Macaca fascicularis: one gene and its partner. The protein of the gene in region 2 purifies or fractionates together with the protein of the main gene of each other region. This does not show direct contact. Links are inferred from orthologs where the notes say so. Each region holds a gene or a part of one and is shown on either strand. Other genes may lie near its edges.

Region 1 (4,632 bases), on a different chromosome or scaffold from region 2:
TAGTAGGCTGTACCAGCAAAATGGTGTGAGACTGCAGGGGGGAAACATGATTTCAATATAAGTTTCTATTTGAGAAATTCATAGTATGATAAAAAAAAAATCCCCATTTGTAATGCAATAATGATTGCTAGTTATTAAAATGTAATTAGAGAGGCCAGGCATGGCATCCCATGCCTGTAATCCTCATCCTCTGGGAGGCTGAGGGGTGGAAAATCACTTGAGGCCAGAAGCCTGAGACCAGCCTGGGCAACACAGCAAGACCCTGTCTCTAAAAAAATAAAATAAAATTTCCTGGGTGCATGCCTGTTGTCCCAGCACTTTGGAAGTCTAAGGCAGAAGGATTCCTTGAGCCCAGGAGGCTGAGACTGCAGTGCACCATGATCACACCATTGCATCGAAGAGTGAGACCCTCTCTCTTAAAAAAAAAAAAAGTAATTAGGATACTTTTCCCACAAAAATATTTATGTCTTAGTCCAAGTGTAGGATCTAGCTGGATTCACAACTCTGCTGTAAGGTCTCCCTAAGTCTCCCAGTCCTACTGTATTTACTGCCTACAAGTTATCAGTATAAGCTACCTTGTCTTCCTTTTTCTTTTGTATCTTTTCTTCCCAACTAAATTATAAACCTGCTTAGGTTTTCTGTCTCCAGTGGTCACTTTCCATCTTTAATGCTCTTAAGTCATTAATAAAAACTCAGATGGGCTGATGAAAGGAAACAAAAGGGGAAATAGTGTAATAATCACAAGCATGGGTTCAATTTTTTTTGCCAACCTTAGCATAAGAGCAAAGTCACATTTTATCCAGGGGTTAGACTTAACATTAAAGGAGTAGATAAATTAGCAATATAAACCATCATAAGAATTACCCTTAAAAATCCATTGAACTATTCACCTAGTAGATGACTTGCCTTACTGGGCTTTCTCATACCAAAACCAGGTATTAGAATCACACAGAATGTTAGGTTATCACACTATGAGAAATGTGAAATATGCCCGAAAAATAGCAGACAGACGTGTCTTCCACTTCATGCTCACTGGGGAACATGTTTTTGTTAGTGTTCAGTCACTAACAAGTCAATCTCAGTGTTTCTCAACCTGGGCTCTATTACATTTTGAGCTGGCTGATTCTTTGTGACAAATGTCCCTTAGGGAGCAAAAAATCTCATCCAGCTGAGAATTCACTGGTCTGTTGAAAATATGACCCATCCAATTTTTTGCTACCCGTGTAAGGTTGATTAATTAAATGCAAGTATGATGCAACTCCACTGTAAACCCAGTCCCAAATCAAACTATTCACTTTTTTCCTTCTCTTCTGCTGTACTAGTATTTTTCAGCCAAAAACCAGAAAACAAAAATTTCCTAACAACAGGAACCCTAACTGTTTTGGAATGAAAATAATTTTTTTTTTTTTTTTTTTGAGACAGAGTTCTTGTTGCCCAGGCTGGAGTGCAATGGCGCGATCTCAGCTCACCACAACCTCTGCTTCCCGGGTTCAAGAGAATCTTCTGCTTCAGCCTCCCAATACCCGGGATTACAGGCATATGCCATCACGCTCGCTAATTTTGTCTTTTTAGTAGAGACAGGGTTTCTCCATGTTGGTCAGGCTGGTCTCGAACTCCTGACCTCAGGTGATCTGCCCACCTCGGCCTCCCAAAGTGCTGGGATTACAGGCGTGAGCCACTGCGCCCGGCCAAAATGATCAGAATTTTTAACCATCAAATTGGAGCTGAAATAGCTGAATAAACAATGGAAAAATAGTACATTTAACATGACACGCAAAACAAAGGGTTATACTCTTCTCTCCCCATCAATAATTAAATCACTTTGACTAAAAGTTTGAGAGGGTGTGAGATAAAAACGGAACTTGGTGACAAGAGACGAAGGATTAACTCTCACCTATAACCTGAACAGTCAAAGCCTTTGTTAAATCGATTTAAAAGCCACAGAAAGCATTAGATTATTTGTTACACAGAAGTCTTTGTAAGCTAGCTACTCAAAAAGTTTCAATGAGTCATTTGTTAAGAAAAAATAATTTTGTAGAAACCACGTGCATTCTTGCAACAGAGCTTGCCCCTATACACTAGCTATCTCAACTGCTACTATAATTGTATTCCAATTCTAATGCAAATTAAAGGACTAATTTGAAAGCGTAACAATGGAATAAGCTATACAGCATGTTGCTTTTTATATCTAGTCTTAAAATGAACACTGGGCAAAGTTTACTATTTTCAATACTTACTGCCCAAAAACAGGGATTAAAAACCACTAAGAACGTAACATGATACATTTTAAAAAATGTGGTCATTTTAAAATGGCATTGCTTTCCTGCTCAAATTCTTTACAGATTATACCACCTCTCAAGCCAGTTTTGGTCACTTTCTTCGAATTGGAGCTTACTGATCATCCTGGTTGGATTCTAATAGAGCTGGTCTCTGAGCTGAGCCTACTTTTCAGTCTCCAGCCCCAAGAGGATATAAATACAGATAAGAACAGGATCGAGGGCTGAGGGACGCGCCACATGAACTACCTAGAGGTCTCAGAAATAGGAAAAAAAAAAAAAAAAAAAAAAAAAAGGCAGAGCACAGGAAAACGAAAGCTGAGAAAACACTACAAAGTAAATACGACCTCTCCTGGCCCACATGCTGGATATAGTAAGCTGGATCTGTCAGCTTCCAGAAAAGGTTACACAACCCTGGCCCATTGTTCCTACAGCAGGCTAGAGCATTTGGAGGGAAAAAGCACCATTCCCGGCCGGGCCCGGTGGCTCACGCCTGTAATCCCAGCACTTTGGGAGGCCGAGGCGGGTAGACTGCTTGAGGTCAGGAGTTCGAGACCAGCCTGGCCAACATGATGAAACTCCATCTCTACTAAAATACAAAAATTAGCCGGGCGAGGTGGTGGGCGCCTGTAATCCCAGCTTGGGAAGCTGAGGCAGGAGAATTGCTTGAACCCAGGAAGCGGAGGTTGCAGTGAGCCGAGATCACACCACTGTACTCCAGCCTGGGCGATACAGTGAGACTGTCTCAAAAAACAAACCAGAAAAACCACCGTTCCTATGCCTCCCTCTACCGAGTAACAATCGGGAGAGAGCTCATCCTCAGGTCCAAGGCACGCCTGACCCGAGCGAGCAGGCGGGCGCGCAACCGCAGGGCGGACTGGCGCTCCGGGGCCTAGAGTCAGGCCTGGCGTCTCTGCGGCGGGAAGAAGGATCCATCCACCAACTGGAGTGGCGGGGAGCATCACGCCGCGCTGCATGGGGCTCGTGGGGAGAGGAAAATGTATAGGGCTGGGGTCGCTCTGGAGGCCGGGGACTCGGACTCGGGTAGCCGCGGGGGCCTTTCTCACCATCGCGCCAAACTCTCTTCGCTGCAGCTGCTGCCGACACCGCCGCCGTTACACGAGCTTAGCCACAACGCCGCTAACAGCCAATCCCCGCGAGAGGAGCCGCCGGAAGTCGTCGAAAATTCAACGCAAAAGAGCCTTTTGGATCATAGAGGCACAGTCACTTCCGGCAGCTAGAGCAGATACTGACTCTGTTTCAGCCATCTTCGATAAAGGCAAAAAGGTAAGTAAGGGAAAGTTTCCGAACTTTAGGAAGAATTATTTTGTTTCAAGACGCTGTCTTCCGTACTTTCGTTATTAAACATACGGCTCAAGTGAGCACCGGTGTAGACAGTGACATCAGACATCTTTAATTAGCCCTACTCAAAAATGGCGGCAACGTAAGTATCGCGGGCCAGAGGTCGGTTGTAACCCGGAAGTGCCCTTGTAAAGGAGGGGGCGGTTAGACAATCCGGAAGTGGATGGAATGAAGAGGTGCCACTTGGCGGCCATGGCAGCTGTAGTATCGGCGACTCCGGGTCAAGGCCCGGCCGAGTGCAGTACCATGGGCAGCACCGGGTATAGGGCAGAGACAGCTTTGTGTCAACTTTGCTGCTGAACCCCTAGGACCCATCGTTAGAGACCTGCAGGACTCCTTTCCGCATCCCAGGCTCAGAGGACAGTTTGCTGGGACTGGTGGGCTGGTTTCCTGCCGTGGGGGGCGGATCACCTTCGGGGCCGCCTCTTGGAGACAGGGGCGCCTAGGGAACGAACAGGTTCGCTTGAGTCACCCGCCGCCGCGTAAGACGTTGTGCCACTCTCATTCCGACAATCGAAGAAATCGATCATTCGCACATTTTCCCCATTGACTTTTCCCATCTCTGTTAACCCACGAGAATCTAATGACTGGCATCTCAGAACCCAGAGCCTGGGACCCTAGATTGCTGTAAGCTTTCTCTGGTGCTAATATCAGCAACAAGGGTCTGTTTCCGGGTACGTTCAAGAGGAAGGTGCCTCGTGAACACATCTGCTGGTGAGGAGGCCTAAAGAACTGGAAAGCCCACTCTCTTGGAACCACCACACCTGTTTAAAGAACCTAAGCACCTTTTAAAGCCACTGGAAATTTGTTGTCTAGTGGTGGTGGGTGAATAAAGAAGGGCAGAATGGATGATTTCATCTCCATTAGCCTACTGTCTTTGGCTATGTTGGTGGGATGTTACGTGGCTGGAATCATTCCCTTGGCTGTTAATTTCTCAGAGGTAAGAAATTCTCAACTTTCTGTCAGCTGTCGGGATGGCTGTGAGGTAGTAGTT
Region 2 (5,214 bases):
TACTGACCTTGTGATCCACCCTTGGCCTCCCAAAGTGCTGGGATTACAGGCATGAGCCACTGCGCCCAGCCAAAGGGACTCTTAATGAACAAAGTTGTCAAAAATAGAAACTGCCTTTAAATACTTTTACTTTTCTTAGTCTCAAATCATCACTTTTTCTGACTCCAAGTAGTTACTTTTGAAAGTTAGATTAGTTCGATCATTTATGAGCCCGTGAAGAGACTCATTATTTCTGTCAAGGAAGTGTAATGGAATGGAAGAGAAGAACACTTAACTGTAAAAGAATCCAAAACAAAACCAAACTAAAAGCAGAATGGAAAGAAAGTGAAATGGAGCAAAGCAAGTGCCTCTTACAAGGCCCAAGAACGACATTCAAGGACCTTTGGACATATTCATGGCTTGCTACCTGCCTCTTACAGGCCAGACACAACACTGCTGGCCTTGGACTGGGCAGCAAGCCTACTGTAGCCAGGGTACCATGCTACCGTGCTGCACGACCCCTGTATCAATGTAAAAAAATGTGAAAAGGGAGGGTGTTAGGAGTCTTTTAAAATACATCCCACCAAATAAATATTTCAGACAGCTTAACATAAAAGTCTACTGATAAGGGGTTTTGAAACAACCGCCCAATTTGTTTTGTGTACCACATGAGATGCAACTAAGAACAGAGGTCTGTAGCCTTCTGTTGGTATTTAGCTTAAAACTGGCTTTGTGCACTGGACCCCAGGGCCAAGTTAAGTAATGTTTTCTTAGGAAGGAGCTGAAGTTGCTGTTGGCTGCCTCACCGCTCATTTAGAGACATCTTGGTGGTGCTTTTTAGCACAACTTTCGGCGCTGACTGTGCAGCCATCTTCAAATCCCGAGAATCTACAAAGGACAATACGTAAAATGAGCAAATCACAATAGTGACCACATCATTTCTATAAGTGGCAAGGCCCAAGTCAACAATAAATAAAAAGGCCTTATCACTGATGACTTAAGAGCACATGAGGGCACATTTCAAGTGCTTAAATTTCTTTTTCTTTTTTTTTTTTTTTTGAGAGAGGGTCTTACTCTGTCACTCAGGCTGGAATGCAGTGGCATGATCTTGGCTGCAGTGGCTCACGGCAGCTGTAATCTCCTGGCCTCAAAGGATGTTCCCACCTTGGCCTCCCAGTGCTGGGATCACAGACATGAGGTGTCATGCCCAGCAAAAGTGCAAAAGTGCTTAAATTTCTATGGCAGTTACCTCACATTACTGTAACTTCAAGGTGGCTGGGCGTGGTGGTTCACCACCTGTAATCCTAACACTTTGGGAGGGTGAGGGCACAGGATGGTTTGAAGCCAGGAGTTAGAGATCAGCTTGGGTAACAAAGTGAGACCGAGTCTCTACTAAGAAAATAAATAAATAAATAGTGCATGGTGGCCAGCACCTGTGGTCCTAGCTACTCAGGGGGAGCTGATGTGGGAGAAGTGCTACAGCCCAGGGGTTGGAGGCTGCAAAGAGCTGTGATGACGCCACTGCACTCCAGCCTGAGAGAGACCCCAACTCTTTAAAACAACCAACCAACCCCAAACAAACTCCAAGGCCCAGAAAATACCCAGGAAATTCTCAAAAACGGCAGAACCCAATTTAGCAATCAAAGTATGGAGTCTGGCCTTTTTTTTTTTTTTTTTTTGAGACGGAATCTCACTCTCTCGCCCAAGCTGGAGTGCAGTGGTGCGATCTCGGTTCACTGCAACCTCTGCCTCCTGGTGCAACCGATTCTCCTGCTTCAGCCTCCTGAGTAGCTGGGACTACAGGCATGTGCCACCACGCCCGGCGAATTGTTTTTGTATTTTTAGTAGAGACGGGGTTTCTCCACGTAGGCTAGGGTGGTCTTGAGCTCCTGACCTCACCCGATCCACCCACCTGGGCCTCCCAAAGTGCTGGGATTACAGGCGTGAGCCACCGCGCCCGGTCGAGTTTGGCTTTTTCTCTAGAGCAGTCATTTTCAATCTTGACTACATATGACTTATCCAAGGAGCTTTCAAAGGGCGCGGTGGCTCACGCCTGTAATCTCAGCACCTTGGGAGGCCAAGGTGGGCGGAATGCTCGAGCCCTAGAGCTCAAGACCAGCCTGGGCGACATGGCAAGACCCCGTTTCCATAAAAATATAAATTAATTAAAAAAATAAAAAATACAGATATCTGGGCCTAGATCAATTAAACCACAATCTCTAGTAACGAGGTTTGGAAATGAACAATTGTGGGGTGGAGGGAAAGCTACCTAGGTGCTTCTAGCGTGCAGTTAAAGTTGAAAACTACTGATCTAGAGTGAAAATATAGGCAGGGCCGGGCGCGGTGGCTCACGCCAGTTTTCCCAGCACTCTGGGAGGCCGAGACGGGCGGATCACCTGAGGTTGGGGGTTCGAGACCAGCCTGACCATCATGGAGAAACCCCGTCTTTACTAAATATACAAAATTAGCTGGGCGTAGTGGCGCATGGCTGTAATCCCAGCTACTCGGGAGTCTGAGGCAGGAGAATCGCTTGAACTCGGGAGGCGGAAGCTGTGGTGAGCTGAGATCGTGCCACTGCACTCCAGCCTGGGCAAAAAGAGCGACACTCCGTCTCAAAAAAAAAAAAAAAAAAAAAAAGCCTAGTTTAAAAATTGGCTTTCAACTCCAGAATCAAGTAGAGACTTTTGTAACAATAAACTAATGATCTCGGGGAGTGCGTAGGAAAGGTTTTCTAAATTCACCTGGGGAATGAGCTCGCAAAGAGCCCTCCACAAAACTTAACCCTAAAGCCGCCATTAATTTCCAACATTCCTCAAAGTCTTGTATTTCTTAATCTCCCTACCATCCTCAAAGCCCTATCAAGACTTCCACTTTTGCTCAACCCAAGTTTCCTTTTAATCCCTATCAAACCCCAACCTCCATCAGTCCCGCCACCAGGTTCCAGTTCAGCCCCTCCCCCGCCCCTTCGCAGGGGCTCCGCCTCCTCCCCCGGGCCTCCACGCTCCAACACCGTAGCTGTGTCCACATGCCACCACCCCCTTTCCGCGTCCGCCAGCCCCTTCCGCTCTCCAAGACCCCGCCACCCCGCTCCTTCTCCCTACAGAAACTCACCGAAGGAAACAGACGCCAGTGCTCCTCCCGGGGCTGCCACCACGGCTCCGGCAGGCGGGCCGGGGACCGGCCGAACCTGAGTTGACGGTGGAGGGGCTCGGGTTAGCTAGATGGGCGGTTGGTCAGATGCGTAAGCGGTAGTATGCGAGCTCAGTTCGTTGTTGCTGGTTGGCTGTCTAGCCGGCCGATCCGTCTGCTCACCCGGCCTGCCCTTTCTTGCCTTTCGTCTGCAGCGGCCGCCAGCTCCGGCTCGGTGTCCAAAACAAAATGGCCGCCACATGCAGTGCTTGTGGGACCGGCTAAAATGGCGTCTACGCCATTACGTCAGGCGTCAGATCCGCTCACGACTAGAGGGCGTGAAAGATTTGAGCTCCGCCTGCGCAGGGATCAGAGGCGGAGCCTTAGGGTGAACTTCAGCAAACTTTACCTTAGCGGTATAAGCAGTGCCCCGCCCCCTGGGGGCGTGACAATGGCCCTATCGGGGCGTGCCGGGACTTCAAGTTCCCGTAGTGGTTAAGCTGCAACCTCCTGGGTTACTAGTTAGTAATCAGGGTCTTAGAGGGGATTTGGGTTCCGAATTCCCTTGCCCCTCTGTTCCTTAGGCAAGGTACATCGTCTAAAAATCTTTACGCGGACTTGCCTCGTCTTCTTCCGGACAACTGGGCCTGGGGAATTTGCACTGGTTTTCCCCTCATGGCCAGTCGCCCAGTCTGAGAGTTGTAAAGTGCCGTAAATGCTCCCGCCAAGGCCCAGTATTGGGAGCACATTCCTCTCCCATCCTGCGCTGGCCAACACCACCGCCCGTCCATGTTTTCCTCTTCACTTCCTCCCCTTCCCAACTTGGCCTAAATACTGTTTAATCCTTCTTGCGGGGGGTGCACCTTTGCGTCCTCGATTGCGCTTCCATGTCCTCCCTCCACACCTGCCATCCGTGTTTATTTTGTGGCAGACCTACATAGGGATTTCTCTTTTCTCGCTTTTTGATTTGTTGTTGTTGTTGTTTTGAGACGGGGTCTGGCTCTGTTGTCCAAGCTGGAGTCAGTGGCGCAATCACGGATCACTGCAGCCTTGACCTCCTGGGCTCAGGTGATCCTCTCACCTCAGCCTCCCGAGTCCTAGGATTATAGGCATGAACTATGTGTCCTGCTCAATTAAGGGATTTTTCTTTCTTTCTTTCTTTCTTTTTTTTCTTTTTGCAGATGGAGTCTCGCTCTATCACCCAGGCTGGAGTGTAGTGGTACCATCTCGGCTCACTGCAACCTCCGCCTCCCAGGTTCAAGCGATTCTCCTGCTTCAGCCTCCTGAGTGGCTGGAATTACAGGCGCGTGCCACCACGCCCTGCTAATTTTTGTATTTTTAGTAGAGATGAGATTTCACCAGGCTGGTCGCTAACTCCTGACCTCGAGTGATCTGCCCACCTCTGTGTCTCAAAGTGCTGGGACTACAGTCGTGAGCCACCATGCCCGGCCTCAATAAGGGATTTTGCTTTTTTTTTTTTTTCTTTCTTTTTTTTTTTGAGACGGAGTCTCGCGCTGTCGCCCAGGCTGGAGTGCAGTGGCCGGATCTCAGCTCACTGCAAGCTCCGCCTCCCGGGTTTACGCCATTCTCCTGCCTCAGCCTCCGGAGTAGCTGGGACTACAGGCACCCACCACCTCGCCTGGCTATTTTTTTGTATTTTTTAGTAGAGACGGGGTTTCACTGTGTTAGCCAGGATGGTCTCGATCTCCTGACCTAGTGATCCGCCCATCTCGGCCTCCCAAAGTGCTGGGATTACAGGCTTGAGCCACCGCGCCCGGCCAATAAGAGATTTTTCTAATGGCTATGTGCACAATACAGTGTGCATATGTTTGAGTAATGAGAGAATGACACATCTGTCCCTGCCCACCCTTTCTCCGCCCCATAGGCACGTGAAGACCCTTTCATTTTCCTTCCTGGCACTGGCACGTGTGTGTATGTGTGTGTGTGTGTGTGTAAGGCCCATGTGAGGGTAAGGATCGTGGTTATTTTGCTTAATGCTGGAGCCTCAGTTCCTACACAGTGTTTACACACAGTACCACTTAGGTAAATGTTCGTTGATTGAAAGAAGATTATTTTGGCCAAGCGCGGTGGCTCACACCTGTAATC

The links.
Region 1: the proteins of CHTOP (region 2) and ERH purify together in Homo sapiens (affinity purification with mass spectrometry; 3 studies listed by BioGRID and IntAct, with this or other methods). This does not show direct contact. The link is inferred for Macaca fascicularis from reciprocal best matches to the Homo sapiens genes CHTOP and ERH.

The regions. Positions count from the first base shown.
Region 1 is NC_088381.1:137,312,347-137,316,978, forward strand, and holds the start of ERH (enhancer of rudimentary homolog), read right to left. Parts: upstream 3,347-4,632; coding exon 3,344-3,346; coding exon of another isoform or gene 3,252-3,343; exon of another isoform or gene 3,120-3,251; intron 32-3,119; coding exon 1-31. Other genes in the region: SLC39A9 (zinc transporter ZIP9), read left to right, coding at 3,252-3,563. UniProt on the Homo sapiens protein: May have a role in the cell cycle.
Region 2 is NC_088375.1:107,531,029-107,536,242, forward strand, and holds the start of CHTOP (chromatin target of PRMT1 protein), read right to left. Parts: upstream 3,355-5,214; 5' UTR 3,091-3,354; intron 868-3,090; 5' UTR 851-867; coding exon 786-850; intron 1-785. UniProt on the Homo sapiens protein: Plays an important role in the ligand-dependent activation of estrogen receptor target genes. May play a role in the silencing of fetal globin genes.